Danio rerio: one gene and its partners. The protein of the gene in region 3 interacts with the protein of the main gene of each other region in a pairwise test. Links are inferred from orthologs where the notes say so. Each region holds a gene or a part of one and is shown on either strand. Other genes may lie near its edges. The genes, in order: kxd1, prpf19, exoc7 and ift20.

What was found.
Region 1: the proteins of exoc7 (region 3) and kxd1 interact in binary tests that used the Homo sapiens proteins (3 or more experiments, as listed by UniProt). The two-hybrid records come from large-scale screens. The link is inferred for Danio rerio from reciprocal best matches to the Homo sapiens genes EXOC7 and KXD1.
Region 2: the proteins of exoc7 (region 3) and prpf19 interact in a two-hybrid assay, tested with the Homo sapiens proteins (2 studies listed by BioGRID and IntAct, with this or other methods). The link is inferred for Danio rerio from reciprocal best matches to the Homo sapiens genes EXOC7 and PRPF19.
Region 4: the proteins of exoc7 (region 3) and ift20 interact in binary tests that used the Homo sapiens proteins (3 or more experiments, as listed by UniProt). The two-hybrid records come from large-scale screens. The link is inferred for Danio rerio from reciprocal best matches to the Homo sapiens genes EXOC7 and IFT20.

The regions. Positions count from the first base shown.
Region 1 is NC_133200.1:21,951,574-21,956,480, reverse strand, and holds the start of kxd1 (kxDL motif-containing protein 1), read right to left. Parts: upstream 3,285-4,907; 5' UTR 3,029-3,284; coding exon of another isoform or gene 2,934-3,028; 5' UTR 2,282-2,933; intron 1,866-2,281; coding exon of another isoform or gene 1,838-1,865; coding exon 1,713-1,837; intron 1-1,712.
Region 2 is NC_133189.1:18,665,083-18,669,445, reverse strand, and holds part of prpf19 (pre-mRNA-processing factor 19), read right to left. Parts: intron 3,593-4,363; coding exon 3,451-3,592; intron 3,373-3,450; coding exon 3,299-3,372; intron 1,683-3,298; coding exon 1,617-1,682; intron 1,531-1,616; coding exon 1,489-1,530; intron 1,405-1,488; coding exon 1,330-1,404; intron 1-1,329. UniProt on the Homo sapiens protein: Ubiquitin-protein ligase which is a core component of several complexes mainly involved pre-mRNA splicing and DNA repair. Required for pre-mRNA splicing as component of the spliceosome.
Region 3 is NC_133187.1:48,883,310-48,887,672, reverse strand, and holds part of exoc7 (exocyst complex component 7), read right to left. Parts: intron 3,670-4,363; coding exon 3,418-3,669; intron 1,259-3,417; coding exon 1,196-1,258; intron 1,103-1,195; coding exon 1,036-1,102; intron 1-1,035. UniProt on the Homo sapiens protein: Component of the exocyst complex involved in the docking of exocytic vesicles with fusion sites on the plasma membrane.
Region 4 is NC_133190.1:26,254,231-26,257,947, forward strand, and holds the end of ift20 (intraflagellar transport protein 20 homolog), read left to right. Parts: intron 1-965; exon of another isoform or gene 966-969; 5' UTR 970-1,009; coding exon 1,010-1,136; intron 1,137-1,246; coding exon 1,247-1,332; intron 1,333-1,401; coding exon 1,402-1,505; intron 1,506-2,304; coding exon 2,305-2,386; 3' UTR 2,387-2,993; downstream 2,994-3,717. Other genes in the region: tmem97 (sigma intracellular receptor 2), read right to left, coding at 3,167-3,441. UniProt on the Homo sapiens protein: Part of intraflagellar transport (IFT) particles involved in ciliary process assembly. May play a role in the trafficking of ciliary membrane proteins from the Golgi complex to the cilium.

The DNA of each region.
Region 1 (4,907 bases), on a different chromosome or scaffold from region 3:
GATTCTCATTTAACATGTTTTCTTGTTTGTTTTTTTGCAATCAAACCAAAATCAAGTGTAGTAGTGTGAACCATTATTTAAAACAGTCATTTCTTGAATGACTTTAACAGTCATTGTTTAAAATCAGTAAATATATGGTCAACCATTTGGATGAGCAGGCAGTTAAATGGTTAATAGGGGAGGGCAGAGCACAAAGTAACGTGGAGTAAAATAGAAAACAAGGTATTTGCGCAGGGTTAACCATGCCATGCTTCCGAAGTTTTCACCACAGTGTCGGTCGGCAAATGTCTTCCTGCCAATTATTGAAAACTTTCAGGGAAATTTTAATGAGAAATACAGGAGAAACCGTTTTTGCAGCATAAAAGTTTTTTTTTTTTTTTTTTAGTTGGTATTTTTTATTTAAAAAAAAAATCTGTGTAAGTATGCAAGTAAAATCTTATATTGCTGTGATTACCTTCTTCTAGGCTGAAAGATGGAACCATTTTGAAAGATGTAAAAAAAAAAACTGTGACTGATAATATATATATATTTTTTTTTTTTTGAGTGTAATGTTCAGAACTTTTTATACAAAATGTTTTATAAAAGAAAATATTTTTTAATAGAAAAAAATTTATTTTATAGCTAATACTGCAAATAAGTGCATTGTATAATAATGTACAATAATGAAATAAATCCAAATGTCTTTATCCAACAGATAAATAAATAAACATATTGTGCTATGTTGAATAAAAATAAACTGAGCAATGTACTGAGGAAATATAGCTACTATTTAAATAAACTGATTTTAAATAAATTGTGTGAGAGCTGACTTTATAAGCATGTGTTACAACTAACCCTCTGTCTGTTACAACTTGCCCCACATGTGGGGTAAATAGTAACATTTTTACTCCCTGCACTTTTGGCAATAATACACAGAAACCATAGGTCTGAAAATCATACAACCATTGCTCATTGGTAGGAGAGGCTTGTGTGTTGTTGGTAAAAATAAATGGTTCAGGGTTCAGACACATTTTTACTACTAAAATTCCATGACTTTTGCATGATTTTTCCAAAACTTTTAAGTAAATTTTTATGACCTTAATGTTTCATGCAATGTCTACATATGCATGGTAAAAGAAAAACAATGCAGGTTCAAATTGATTACAGCATATCGTAAAACAAGCAACAACCTATTAAGTTTTAATTTATATTTACATCTATGTAAAATTGATTCAGATAATGCTTACATCACACTAATATTGTGAGAATGTGACTGGCAAAGGACAGAAAAGCAGTAAATAACCTATATTCAAGTATAAAGATTTCTGTTTTCCATGATTTTTCCAAAACTTTGTGGGTTTTTCTCTTTTTCCCAAACTTTCCCAAGCCTTGAAAAAGGCATGTCAAAATACTACGACTTTTCCAGGTTTTCCTTGACCGTATGAATTCAGATGGTTTGTCTAACTCCATTACTTTGTTCATTATTTGGCCAAAACCAAAAAGTGTTACTTTGTGCCCCGCTCTCCCCTATACACAGGTGAAAACTAGAGTACATTTTCTATTTACACTTAAATAATGTACTGACTTACAATGTAATATTACTCAACTAATTTGTTGAGTTTAATTTGTGAAAAGTTACTTTAATGGCATTTTAAATGACAAAATAGTAAAATATGGTAACACACTCATTGCTAAACATCACTCAATTCAATCTTAATTTGCAAACATAACACCTTATTCTTCTGAAGATGCTGTCCAAGTCTTTCTTCATCTCTATCAAAGTCCTGGTGTGCATCAGAAAGTGTTCATTCATCTGCTGTAAGCGCACATTGGACAAGCCGTTGAAGTTGATCAGCATCTCATTGGTTTTCTCAAAGCGGTCCAGCCTGTAGGACATGCATCAAAACAGGTTTTAAACAGCTTCCTTTTTAGGTACTTTACTAGAATTTAGGTACGTTAAAGTTGGTTTTAAATTCAACTTGTGACATTCTTCCTATATTTTGAGGTGAAGTTGGTTTTATATTCACACATTCAGACTTTCTCTTTAATAATATAATTTCAGAAACTTACTCTTTGCGAATACTAAATAGTGGAAACATATTAGCAGTCAATGAGCATCAGACTAGGTTGTTTATAGTCAAATAAATAGTGGTTATGTTGTTTTGAAGTCATTCTTACACAGGATTTCAGACCCAATGTTTTACCAGTACCATGGTAAACAATATAGGGACCATATCACAAGTGATCACTGAAAGAATGTTCAAATATAAAACCAACTTTACCTCAATTTCCTTATGTTTACCGTGGTAATTTGAATAATCGAAATCAGGGCGAGGCAGTGGTGCAATAGGTAGTGCTGTTGCCTCACAGCAAGAAGGTCTCTGGGTCGCTGGTTCGAACCTCGGCTCAGTTGGCATTTCTGTGTGGAGTTTGTATGTTCTCCCTGCCTTCGTGTGGGTTTCCTCCGGATGCTCCGGTTTCCCCCACAGTCCAAAGACATGCGGTACAGGTGAATAGGGTAGGCTAAATTGTCCGTAGTGTACGAGTGTGTAAATGTGTGTGTGGATGTTTCCCAAAGATGGGTTGTGGCTGGAAGGGCATCCGCTGCGTAAAAACTTGCTGGATAAGTTGGCGGTTCATTCCGCTATGGTGACCCCGGATTAATAAAGGGACTAAGCCGACAAGAAAATGAATTATATGAAATCACAAAGACTATAGAATACATAGAATACAATATGCCTTACAGGGACTTTGGTGTGACTTGAAAACAACATTAGCACTATTTATTTGACTGTGAACAATGTTGCATTTTGATAGTCATTGGCTGCTAATATGATTCCACTGTTAAGAATTTGAAAACGACACTTTTCTGAAGTTATACTGTTAAGGAGAAAGTCTGGATGTGTGAATATAATCCGAATTTTACCTCAATTTCACTAGACAGGGATACTCACATATGTCTCTGGGCTTGAATGATGGCGTTCACATCCTCAGAGTTCACCATACTGAGCATCCTGTTACAGAATATTCCCGAAGCTGTGGGCTCCATTTGAACTTTTTCGAGAGCAAAGCACGAGATTTATTGAGTTATGCTAATAATAAACCGATACAGACGAGTGTAATCGCTTACGTGCTAAAATATTCGCTTTCTGACTAGTTTTCGTCTGACTTTGTTTGTTTCTAAAGCGTCGCAGTCTGATGCAGGAGGTTTTGCATGTATGCAGACTTTTATTGTATTCCTAAAACGATCAAACATTTACTGGACTGAGATGCAGGCAGACATTTTTGTTGTGGTGTTGTCATATGATCGCTGAGAGATCGTGACGCATTTGGGAGGCGGCATCTAGAAGGTTTTCTTAGCGTTGATTGGATGTTCAGAAAGACAGAAAGAGGGGTTTAAAAGGGCTTTAAAATGAAATGTAGATTTATAATGCGCTTTCTGTGATGATAAAGAAGAGAGTATTGCTCATTTATGTTATGGTTGTATTTATACACAGTTGTTTTGGTGTTATCTTTTTTTTTTTTTTGGTAAACGTTATGAATATTGCTTTTCAATTCAAAGAAAAAGATTATTTATTCTTTATATGAGAATACTGTCTACTTTATAATGTGGTGTTTTGTAATTTGCTAATTATATATGGAAATATTTTTATTCATAAATGTACATGTGCAGTGGAAAAACCTAATTTTACTCACTTAAAAATAGAAATAGGACAAGGACAATAAAAGAAACAAAAAATACCAAACAAAAAGAACTGTTATTATTATACTATTATTATCTTAAAGCCTTAAATGCTGTCTTTGAATAATTGTATTTTTTTATTTTTGTTTTATGTTGTATTTATTTTTATGTAAACATAATGTTTTTATTCCCTTTGTATGTTCTGTGTTCTAAAATTGCAATAAAAAAATAAATAAATAAAAAGGGCTTTAAAATATTGTTTTAATTTGTTTTAACATACAATATAAAATAAGAATACAGTATCCCAAAATGACTTCAGTACTATATGCACCACATGAGATGGATATTATGAATATATATATATATATATATATATATATATATATATATATATATATATATATATATATATATATATATATATATATATATATATATATATATTAGGCCTGTATTTTATATTTCGGTAAATATTAGTTTCTATTTATAAATATAAATGTTATTATGAATAGTGGAAGTAATTTATTCAGTTTATTTAAGCATTTTCTAAACCTATTAATATAAATGGCGTTATATGTAAACTGTATTATTACATTTTTAAGAAATACTTTTTTATTAATTGATTTTAATACATTTTAATTATGTAAAAATATACATTTGCATAATTAACTTATTTGTATTAATAGTATATATTGTTTGAAGATTGCTTATTATATTATTCGATTTCAGTTTATTATACACAATGTAAAAATGATATGACAAAAGTCAACAATATTTTGTTACTTTAACTTATTTAAATAAGTTAATAAAGCTGTATGGCATTGATTTCTGAAGTGTATAATGTTTGGCATTACAGAATTATTTCTAAATGGATCTTGTCACTGAACACTACCATTATACATAATGTACAGTTGAAGTCAGAATTATTAGCCCCCTTGATTTATTAGACCCCCCTGTTTATTTTTTCCCCTCAATTTCTGTTTAACAGAGAGAAGATTTGTTCAACACATTTCTAAACATAATAATTTTAATAACTCATTTCTAATAACTGATTTATTTTATCTTTGCCATGATGACAGTAAATAATATTTCACTAGATATTTTTTAATACACTTCTATGCAGCTTACAGTGACATTTAAAGGCTTAACTATGTTAATAATGTTAAGTAGGTTAGGATAATTAGGCAAGTTATTGTATAATGATGGTTTGTTCTGTAGACTATCAAAAATACAAAGTTTAAAAGGG
Region 2 (4,363 bases), on a different chromosome or scaffold from region 3:
ATTTATTTGAATTACTTAGCCTGACATGTTTACTGTTCCAGAATATTTTAAATCTTTCTTTACATAAAATATATTGTGTTCAAAGGGGGGAAAAGTTTTAGTTTTTTACCCAGATATTAAAAAAATACAATTTAGAGGAGTAATCATAATACTGTGAAGGTTATCATACCATCAGAATCTTATACCAGCCCAAGCCTAAGACAGAAACTCCATTTGTCAAACTTTGAGGTGGAAATTGTTGATTTTTATCTTAATTTCTAAACAGAGAATAATTTTTTTTTAAAAGTTTAAATTCAACAGAGTTTAAAGTTAGCATGCTTCTCAGCTAACAATATGACATGGTAATAACTATAAAAGTGTGTATTAGTTTTATTAAGATTTTACAATTAAGATTAAGATATAAGTCGATATTTACACAATGTGATTCAGACGTCATTTTCTTCCCAATAGCTGTGCCTTCAAAGATGCTGTCACAGAATTTGATCAAAACAGGATTTCTAGAACAATTTTATGCTTACTTGGCAATTTTTTTTTACCAGGACATATGGAAAGAGAGAATTTTGAATTTATTGCCATATCAGCTTTTATGGCTATATCATGGCAAAAAAAGATCAGGTTTACCACATTTTAAAAAATAATACTTTTCTATAATTATAAAAATATTCTAACAATTAAAAGTCATCGAAAGCAATAAATACAGAAGATAAAAATACAAAGTAATAATGAGAATACATAAGATAAAAATCTAAAACTTTTTTTTAAGGATTTAGTTTTGATGAAAATTTAACAATTTTAAAATTAAATACTACATTTCAAGTCCCTCCAGACAATAATTGTTGTCGGATAACAATAAAAATAGGGCATTGCACAAGAATATTTTTAACAGCTTGGTTTCTGTTGCAATATAGACATTTTAGGGGTTTTTCTCCTTTAGCAAGTGTTCAGTGCGAGTTTTTTTGTGTCCGGAACGTCATCTTCTGCATACAATCTCATCATTTCTTGAGTTTTAAAAAAAAAATTGGATTTTGATCCTATTTCAGGCTGGATTTCATAGTTTATTTTTTGAGCACTAATCCTACCATAATGGTATAAAATCAGCTTAAATAAACATAATGGATTTTTTTAATGAGCCTAATATATTGACCTCTGAAAAAAACTAAACCTTTTTTAACAATAAATGTACCAAATGTAGCACTTTTTAGAAGCGGTTTTCTTATGATATAGAAAAAAAACATCCAGCTTATATAACCTTTGTGGACATCAGGCCTACACAACATATGTTAAACAAAAATATGCACGCATACACACTGTGTAAAATTGGATACTCACAGCATGGGATCCCACTTGGCGATACTTGCTGAGATCTTCTGCTCTGACCAGCTCTTCTGGCACGGTCTTTCCTCTCTGAAAAACAAACACGTAAAAGGTTACAGACATTGAAAAGCACATCAAATAACAGTGACCACAAACTGCTAATTAAACGTTTACCTTCTTTCTCTCGGTGGTCAGAACAGTGGCCTTGTCTTGAAGCTGTAATGTAAGAAAAAGTCTTTGAATCCCTTTGTACATGTGTGAGCAATGAGAACACTGCTGAATATACTTGTGGATTCACAAACCTTCTGTATGATCTCCGGAGTCATTCCAACCTGTTCACTGACCTCCATGGCCTCACCACCAGCACCCTATGAAAACAGAAAATTATATATTTAACTCCATTGTACTATGGCTATGAGGGGGTTGAATTATTTTACATTTAAAATTGAACATAAAACCATAAAATAAATAAATATCGGATTCACAATTCATCTCAGAATTAATTCTCAACTTTTGAAATAAATTCCTGCATTATATGAAATAACTTTTTTTTCCTGCATCTTTCATTTTGAAAGAGATTATAATCTAAAAGTATTTTTTTTTCAGAATCTTGAGAAATTTTTTTTTAATATATATATTAGAGGTTGCACTGACTAGTCGACTAATCAACTAGTTGACTTTAATGCTCTGCCGTGATGCTTTTTGATAAACTTCGACTAGTCTCACTGTGCAGATCACGTTGTTTGACCAGAACTACATGCAGCTTTACACACTAAGGTGGAACCACGAGTGCACGGATGTTGTCACTGAATGAAACTGCCCTCCGATTATTTAAAATACATTTTTTTAACTGTATTTTTTATGTCAGCGTCAAAGATTCACGTGAACTTGTATTGAACTTTAAATCGGTGCCAGTTAGGTTTAAGCAACCCTGAAAAGTAATGTGATTGTCTGCTGCCCTCTACAAACCTGTGAAAAAATGTGAAGTGCACAGCCGCAAAGGTGTGATAAACTTCACAGCTTGTGTAGGTGTAAACATCATCAACATTGGTGAACCTGGTGAAGATGTACAGCAAGCAGACTTCTGTAACTAAAATGAGCCAGTGACCACAAAAAACGCCTGACTTAAGCAGGATTTTGAGCAGCTTTCTAGTGCGCATGATCATAGCGATAAAATATAAAATACATTAAATATAATGTAATATTTATAAAATATGAGTCTGATTAGGACTCCGACAGTGTAATATGGCTTAATGTTATAGCCTGTCCTTTCTGCGTTATGTATAACGTCACATGAATCTGTGTGCTGCATTATTTCTGCACAAAAATATCTGTTATTGTTACATTCTTACTAGAATGTGCAGTGATCAATGTGTTAACTGCATTTATTTCGCAGTAAAATTTAGTCCGGGTGCTAATGTTACATTAATAACGAAAGAGTCGACAGTGTATTTGTTTTGCACTAAAATGGTGTCATTGGTGTAATGTTGCATTGTTCTTGCAACGCGTTATGAGCGTTCCAACAGCATGGAAACATATTCTGTCCTGCAAATAAATCGCAAATTGTGGCATGTTGCAAAACATTTGCATCTTATGTTTTTTTTTGATGACGCTAAAAGCTACTAGTTGACTCAACTTTGATAATATAAAAGTCGACTTTCAAAAATCTAAAATCGTCAACCTCTTTTTTACATTTAATGAAATTCAATAAAAATGGTAAGGCAGTTACCAAAAACATTTAAACACTTTATAAATATCACATTTCTAAAATAATAAAAAAGCAAAAAAATAACAATCTAAAACCGTTTTTTAAGGTTTACTCTTGCTACAAAATTTTACCTTAAAAATTATTATAATTGCTGTCTAATAACATTAAAAATAGTGGCCATTTCTATTTGAAAAACCTCAAAGTACCTATGGTTCATGAGTGAATTAAGATTTTTTTTTTCACGCTACATTATGAATATCTAAAGAAATTACTGACCACAGCAGCGGGCTGAGAAGCAGGAGCGGCCTGTGGAGCGACCAGTCCAGCCTGGGGTTTGAGGGTAGCCAAAGCTGCAAGCAGAACAATGTGTCAGTGATGGCACAATTCCAGTCAACATCTCATCCTGAAAGCAATCATGCCACTCTTACCTTCTCTGGCAGCAGTGACCTCTTTTGTAAGACGAGCAATGACTCTGCAGGCTGCATCATGCTGGTAGAGAGCATGAGAAAGCTCTTGTCGTGTTGTCTGCAACTGCTGCCTCAGTGTAAAACTGTGCAGCATCACGGCGTCCTGAAAGAGAGAGAGAGAGAAAAAAACTGTGTTAATCTAAAATATAATCATTCTTTTATAACAATCACCAAATATTAAATGGAAAAGTTTTTCATACGTTGAATGATGCATGTATAATTGCACATATTGCACACAGAATAAGCAGGCTTTGTTGAATTATTTCATAAATAACTGGACGTATCATTCTAAAATCCCAGTGAAGTGGTACAGGATTATTTTGTTTCTCCAGTCTATGGTACAGACTCTGCCAGATGGTTTGTTTTGGGAACAGGTAGGCATTTTTACTGCTTGTAGATTTTGATGCACGAAGATATATCATATAAGTATCTAAAAGTGCAAGGGAGATTCTTTGCATTTGTAGTGCGCACGCCAAAAGATCAAATTCATGTTAAACTTTTGACTAAAATGTATATACACTCGATCAATTTAACATTTATATAAACAATATCTTCAGATAAGGTACATGATTGTATCAAATCCTGATGTTACATCTGAATGTGTCATTTTTACATCATCCCAAAAGGCAATTAGGCCTAAAATCAATATCTCGATTTGATTCAACATTTTAACTTGGTTGCGATTAATGAACAATTATTTTATTTATAAAAATTTTTGGTCCCCAAAAACATTCACTGACAAGTTTTTTATAGTAAATATGCTCACATTTTACAAGTGAGAGATTTCTGAACAAAGGGTGCATAACTTGATTTTAAAAGAATTGAAGTAAACTCTCACTATCTACTATCTCTGATTATTTTTATTGAACATCAA
Region 3 (4,363 bases):
AATATTTTTTCTTCTGGAGAAAGTCTTATTTGTTTTATTTTGGCTAGAATAAAAGCAGTTTTTAATTTTTTAAAAACATTTTAAGGTCAATATTATTAGCCCCTTTACGCTATATTTGTTTTGGATGGTTTAGAGCAGGGGTGCTCAATCCTGTTCCTGGAGATCTACCTTCCTGTACAGTTTAGCTCCTACCCTGATCAAACCCACCTGAACCAATTAATTAGGACCCGAAATCCGCTTGATAATTATAGACAGGTGTGTTTGATAAGGGTTGCAACTGAAATCTGCAGGAAGGTAGATCTCCAGGAACAGGATTGGCCACCCCTCTCTGCTGAAAAATCTTGCTTAAACCAGCCTAGGCTGGTTGGCTGGTTTTAGCTGGTCGACCAGGCTGGTTTTAGAGGGATTTTGGCCATTACCAGGCTGGTTTCCAGCCATTTCCAGCCTGGTCTTAGTTGGTCAGGCTGGAAAATTACCAGCCAAATCCAGCTAAAACCAGCTTGGTTTAAGCTGGACATAGCTGGTTTTGGCTGGACTCCCAGCTTGGCTAGGCTGGTCAAGCTGGTTTGCCTGACCAGCTAAGACCAGGCTGGAAATGGCTGGAAACCAGCCTGGAAGTGGCCAAAACCCCTCTAAAACCAGCCTGGTCGACCAGCTAAAACCAGCCAACCAGACTAGGCTGGTTTAACCTAGATTTTTCAGCAGGGCTGGTTTAGAGAGTAAACCCCTGTTATACAATGACTTGGCTAATTACCCTAATTTTACCCTAATTAACCCAGTGAATCCTTTAAATGTCTCTTTAAGCTGTATAGAAGTGTCTTGAAGAATATCTAGTCTAATATTATTTACTGTCATCATGGCAAAGATCAAATAAATCAGTTATTAGAGATGAGTTATTAAAATTAGTATGATTAGAAATGTGTTTTAAAAATCTGCTTTTCGTTAAACAGAAATTGGGGACAAAACATACAGGAGGGCTAATAATTGTGACTTCAACTGTATGTAATGTCTGTTTTTCTGTAGTCTGTGTTTTACCCTGAGACGCCAGCATCGCTCCTGCTGTTTCCTGGAAATCCAGCAGCTGCTGCAGAAACAGGATTGCCTGACAAAATACATTAGGAGAAGACATTTATTTATAATAAAACACCACTTTGAGTACGTTTACTGCATGAAATGGACAATGAAGAGATCTTACATTGCTGGTCAGCTCATGCACAGTTCCATCTTTCGGCATGTTGTACTCTTTATCCGGATCATTCTGTCGGAGAGAAAAACATAATCAATATACAGTTAAAGTCAGAATTATTAGAACGCCTTTGAATTTTATTTTCTTTTTTAAATATTTCCCAAATGATGTTGAACAGAGCAAGGAAATGTTCACAGTATGTCTGATAATATTTTTTCTTCTAGAGAAAGTCTTATTTGTTTTATTTCAGCTAGAATAAAAGCAGTTTTTAATTTTTTAAACACCATTTTTAGGACAAAATTATTAGCCCCTTTAAACAAATTTTTTATCCAGTAGTCTACAGAATAAACCATCGTTATACAATAACTTGCCTAATTACTCTAACCTGCCTAGTTACCCTAATTACCCTAGTTAAGCCTTTAAGTGTCACTTTAAGCTGTATAGAAGTGTCTTGAAGAATATCTAGTCTAATATTATTTACTGTCATCATGACAAAGATAAAATAACTCAATTATTAGAAATGAGTTATTAAAATTATTATGATTAGAAATGTGTTGAAGAAATCATTTCTCTGTTAAACAGAAATTGGGGAAAAAATAAACAGGGAAGCTAATAATTCAGGGGGGCTTATAATTCTGACTTCAACTGTATATGGAATAATTATTGTCATTATGAAAGTATATAATTAGACTTATAAACCTATATAAAATTATAAATTAATATATGGGGGGGGGATGGGGGGGGGGTAGCAAGAAGGTCGCTGGTTTGAGCCTCGGCTGGGTCAGTTGGCATTTCTGTGTGGAGTTTGCATGTTCTCCCTGTGTGTGGTGTGGGTTTCCTCAGGGTGTTCCTGTTTTCCCCACAGTCCAGAAACATGCGCTATAGGTGAGTTGGGTAACCTAAATTCTCTGTAGTGTATGTGTGTGAATGATAGTGTATTGGTGTTTTACAGTGATGGGTTGCAGATGGAAGGCCATCCGCTGCATAAAACATATGCTGGATAAGTTGGCGGCCTCTGAATAATAAAGAGACTAAGCCGAAAAGCAAATGAACAAATTAATGAAAATTAAAATTTGATACTAAAGGTTGAAGATCAGAAGGGGGCAAGTGATATTTCATTTTAGGAAGGGGCCAAAACTGTTTAATTTAACAAAATGACTATATTTTGATCTTAATCTTGATTTTAATCTTTTATAATACATATTTTTACACACATGGATGAACAATATACTTGAATAGATAATATATATATTTTTAAATAATAAAAGAAAAATTAAATAATAAATTCTTAAATTATTATTACATTCATTCTATTGCATTAAATTTTTATTTAATTAAAATATTAAATAATAATAATTATTATTATTAATATTATTTTAAACATTATTAAATGTATCAACAACATAATAAATAGTATTATTAAAGAAAATAAATACAATATAACAAAATATTATTAATATGAATATAAATACTAATAACAGACTACTTAAATACAATTATTATATTATTTGTTGTATTATATTGATATGCACTATTAAATTATTAATAATAATGGTTTTAAATACACAATAATTAAGTATTATTCTTAATATTATTATTCTAATTATTATTAAAATGCATTATTTAAAATAATATGATAAATAGTATTATTAAAGAAAACAAATACAACATATTAATAATAATATATTTACTAATAAGAGACTATCAAAATACATTAACTATATTATTTGTTGTATTATATTAATATGCATTTTTTAAATAAGTAAAATAAAATAATAAACAATAATTAATTAACAAAAAACAATAATTGTTATAAATACACAATAATGAAGAATTATTTTAAATATTATTATTCAGAATATTATTAAAATACATGAGTAATAATTTTATAATAAATAAAAATGTTGGAGAAAGTAAATACAAAATAACAATAATAACATTAATATAAGCACTAACAACAAACTACTTAGACAAAAATTATATTATTTATTGTATTATATTAATATACATTTTAAAATAAGTAAAAATAACTGTTTTAAATAATTAATAATGAAGAATTAAATGATTAATAATAATAATACATATTATTGTTTTTAATAATTTAAACAAAATAAAACATTTTGAATATTTATTTAACTACAAATGATTAATTAAAGATTCACAAATATAAATATTTTACTAACAAACAACATAAATACAATTAAATATAAAAATATAGATGTAAAATGAACCTTAATGCTGTCAGCAAACTCTTCCAGTGCTTTCGCTCCAATAGTCTCCATAGAGGTGATGAGCGCCGGCAGCTTGTTTTTGGTGCTCGCCGCTGTTCCCTGCAGTGTGGCATCGAAGTCTGGTTTGGTCTGTTTGAGATGCCGTAAGATGGGGAAGATGGTCAGAACGGCGGAGTAATCGTGTCTCATGATGGCTCGACGCGCAGCAGACACGATATTATCACCTTCCAGCATTAAATTATCCAGCGCTTCCTGCAAACACACAACGCTGGGAGTCAACACACATGCAGGTCCACTCACGAATGGTCACATTTAAGCACTTTTTAAGCACTTTCTGGGTGTAATTACACATTTTTTTACATTTAAAATTATACATTTAAATAATATGTAAGCAAATTAGATATTTGCATACATATACATGCTATGATATACCAGATGATTTTTGTTTTAGTATTCTGTAGCACAGTATGGTAATCTAAGGAAAAATGTCAACCACATATTTGCCCCAAGTGTATTAAATTACTGCAGGGTTTTTCAAAGTCTAAGACAGTGGGCCTCCCTTTTGACACAACTTATCCATTGGCGCCCCCCTCCTCCCAAACACGCACGCACGCATATATATATATAAAGACACAGACAGATGTCAGACTGTTAACTCACTTTTATCATCATTTGCATGAAAGTGCAATTATTTACAGAGTAATAACAAGCATTTTAATATAACGTTTTTAAAACTAGGATGATGGTTCAATATGAATAGAACAGTTCCAAGAACTGTCCGTCCCAGTCAAAACAGTGGAAGTTTAGCGGGTCTCATGCTGTCATTGCCAAAATATTTTGACAAACCACACATAAAGGTCGTGGTTCCTCAGCTGGTCCTGTCCACGTAAATCCTAAACTCAAATACTGATCATCATATCGTTGTCTTTTGGGTTTAAGCCCTGAA
Region 4 (3,717 bases), on a different chromosome or scaffold from region 3:
GAGCAAAATGCAGCCTGCAGGTTAATGATGACAGCAGCGCCTAAGTGAATATAAGAATTCAAATAATTAATATTAGTGAATATTACACCTGCTCAATGAAAATCAGATGATTCAGTACATTAATAAATCTGACATAACTTGATCAGAAATCTAAAAAGAGGAGAAAAAATGGTCAAATGGTCCGCACGTTGCGTTACAACGCTGCCAACCCGAGTTCGAACCTCACCTAAATAATCTTTTTTTTTTTTTTCTTTTCATTTTTAGTGTTAGTATAATACTGATTGGGTTACTTATGTAGGTGTACATATTTTATTTTTTGTGTGACCGCCCTTACAAAGGACTGGATATCTATAAAGAATTTTGCACAGAATATATATTCGGATATTGCAGGAAAGGACGTTGTAAAGAATAGTGTTGGAGATTTAGCTATCCCTTTAATCTTCTCATATTTATGAAAAACATTTGAACTTCTAAAGCAGCTGTGTCCTTGAAAAAGATTGTATATTGTCATTAGAAACTAAATTAGAAATGACGTTATTTTAATATAGTCAGTCGTGAACTGAGGTGGGCCGGTCTAAGGCTTGAAACTCCAGGGCTAAAAAGCAGTCCCACTCCGGCCCTGCTGGTATATAAATGTTCAGAGCAAAACATCGTTTCAAACTAATTAAATGACATTTTAGCCATGTTGTACATCAGATTAACGCGAAAAAGTTTTTTAGAACATCATTGCAAAAGCAGCAAACTGAATATTCTTAAAATGCATTCTGAAAGTTCAATAACAATAAGTAATTATTACTTATTTTAAAGTGATAAAGCATGTATGTTCATTATCGTTGTGATATATTATTGAATACTGGCACGTCTAGACATTTTACTTTGCAAAATCAACACTGTATTTGTCAGTATTGAATACAATAAAATTATGCATATTTTTCTTTTAACATACTTCTGTTTCTGTATAATTATCAGCCATTATTGAGTCACACAGGCAGGTTACGGTCCTCTGGTCATGGCTAAAGACCCGTTAGCAGAGGCTGGTCTTCATTTTGATGAGCTCAACAAACTGCGAGTACTTGAGCCTGATGTGAGCCAGAAAACAACTGAGCTCAAAGAGGAATGTGAGGAGTTTGTCGACAGTAAGTGTTTTTTATTTTTTAATCTCATTGTGAAGTTTATCTCTCTTAACTGAATTTCTTTGCTTTTTGCAGTCCAGATCAATAACTTCTCCTTTTGCTTTTGAAAACAGAGATCGGACAGTTTCAGAAAATTGTAGGTGGACTTATTGAACTTGTGGATGAACTTGCGAAGGAAGCCGAAACTGAAAAAATGAAGGTACGTTGTTGTTTTAAACTATTAGCAGTGCATATTTGCGTTTTGTATTTATATATGGTTCACCTTCAGGCCATAGGGGCAAGAAATTTGCTGAAATCGGTTGAAAAGCAACGGGAAGCCCAGCAGCAACAGCTTCAGGCTCTGATTGCAGAGAAGAAAATGCAACTGGAAAGGTAAATATGATAATACATCATAATACATCATTATGGTCTGATATTTTTCTTCAGTTCTATTTTTCAGTCATTTTTCAGTTACTGCATGGTAATTTCCAACTTGTTACTTCTAAAAGAGAACAAAAGAAAGAGCATCACCATAAATCTATTACAGCATTTGCATTGGCATGTGCACAGTGCTAGTTAGCAACTAAATACATGTTATCTGCATTACGTAATCAGATTCTGAAAGTTAGGTTGTAACTTGGAATTGAAGTATATAACATTTTAAAATAATGAAACATACTTACATACATACATACATTTTGGACTCCTCCTTTTATCTTTCACTCACAGCAAAGTAACTGTTGGAGGGGCGTGGTTAAGCATATATCACCCAAACTTGTGTAATCAGAGGTGTAGATAGTAAGTGGTCAGAATTTAATTAACGAATATCAAAACACTGAACATCTTTTTCACTGAATTGACTAATTCAGAGCACAGATTAATTTCAGCGTGCTAGCAAAATAAACATGTGGTTACATCAGTTGGTAAGTGAAAAGTTCGTAATCTAAAAGTAGTTGAAATACATAAACCATTACCTAAAATGAACCACAGTTCTTCATGATCATCAGTAATCAGCAATTGACTACAGTTTCAAAGTAATCTGCCCAGAACTGTATGCCGTTCATTTTAGGCCACCAATATTGCTTATGACAAGGGTTTCTGAATGTTGCATACAGCCACTTCAAGTAGTGAACAGCATTGTGTTTATGCTCTGAATTTCTCTTCAAGACTAAAAAGTCTTTTTGTTTTGCAGGTATCGAATAGAATATGAAGCTCTTCAGAAAGTGGAAGCTGAGCAGAGTGAATTCATTGATCAGTTTATACTGCAGAAATAAGAGCACTGTGTTTCCTCTCTCTGCTGGACAGGAAAAATGATGCTATGCATCTTGATTCACATTGACTTCCTAATAAGTGCAAGGTCTCAAACTAGATGAACTGAATTGAGCAGTTATGGCAGACAACAGACGTCTGTTTCAGCCTCAACCTCACAGCATTGAGTGCTTTTGCATGGCCAGTTCCTGGAGGCACATCCTTGTAATCTTTCCAACCATAGATCATAATCTCAGATGAAACTATTTATATACAAATGTTATTTATACTATTTATATGAAAATTAGTTTGTAAATCTGATCTTTTTTTTTACAATAGGGAAATACAGTATTTGCATGTTACTGTAAATAATTCCATCATGTGACATCTTCAGGTAAATCTATTGTTTTCTGTATGATTACAACTCCTGTTTGAGACTTGAACCCATGTCGTTTTTATTATATCATATCCTCATGATATTTTTATTGGGACCAAACCAAAATAATTTCAGTAGAAGTTATGGAAAAGTAAGTTCATTTATTACTTGTTTACATTTACCATGTGTAATCTCAACATTGGGCAAAGCTCATAAAGATCTGAAGAACATTTGAATAAAAATATATTTTGCATTTACATCTGCTGTCATCGGTAAACAATTTCTAGAGCTTAAAAAATGGTCACATATAATTGAGAAATTTGGCACATATTAAATCACGTTTATCAAATAATGACTACTAACAACCCTGTTGGGATTTGATCAATACATACTGTGCTCTAATTTAGGGTGTAGAAAGATGAACTGGCATTTATCTTTGTTTCTTGGCCTTTGAGGGAGCATTTCCTTTCAGAGATGGTGAGTTGTAAGTTGCGCTGAAGAGCATGGTGAGCAGTATCATAATGGGAATGATGAGGTACGGAGCATAAATGGACACCAGGGTCAGACGTTCATTCAAAGTTTGGGGTCCCGGATGTGGACTCAAAGGAAACTTGTGGAAAAGTATGTGGCTTAAAATTGGGACCAGAGTGGTGGCCACATGAACAGAATAAATTATGGCTGGAGTTCTGATCCATTTGCAGCCACCTATTAAACAGACGAGCACAATAATTAGCTGGAATAATATGACCTTAGCTAGTAGAAGACAATGGATTACTTTCACTGCATCTAAACCAATATCATGTTTATTAGAACCCATCCCAATACCAACTTAATTATAGACAGTAGCATCTCCTCTTTATCTTTAGGTCACTTCCCAATCAACAGCTAGATCTTAGTGAATTAAAAATGCAAAAAGAAAAAAAAGGGAAACATATAGACAAATGATATTAATAAAAGTTTTCACTGCACTATTAAAGTTAT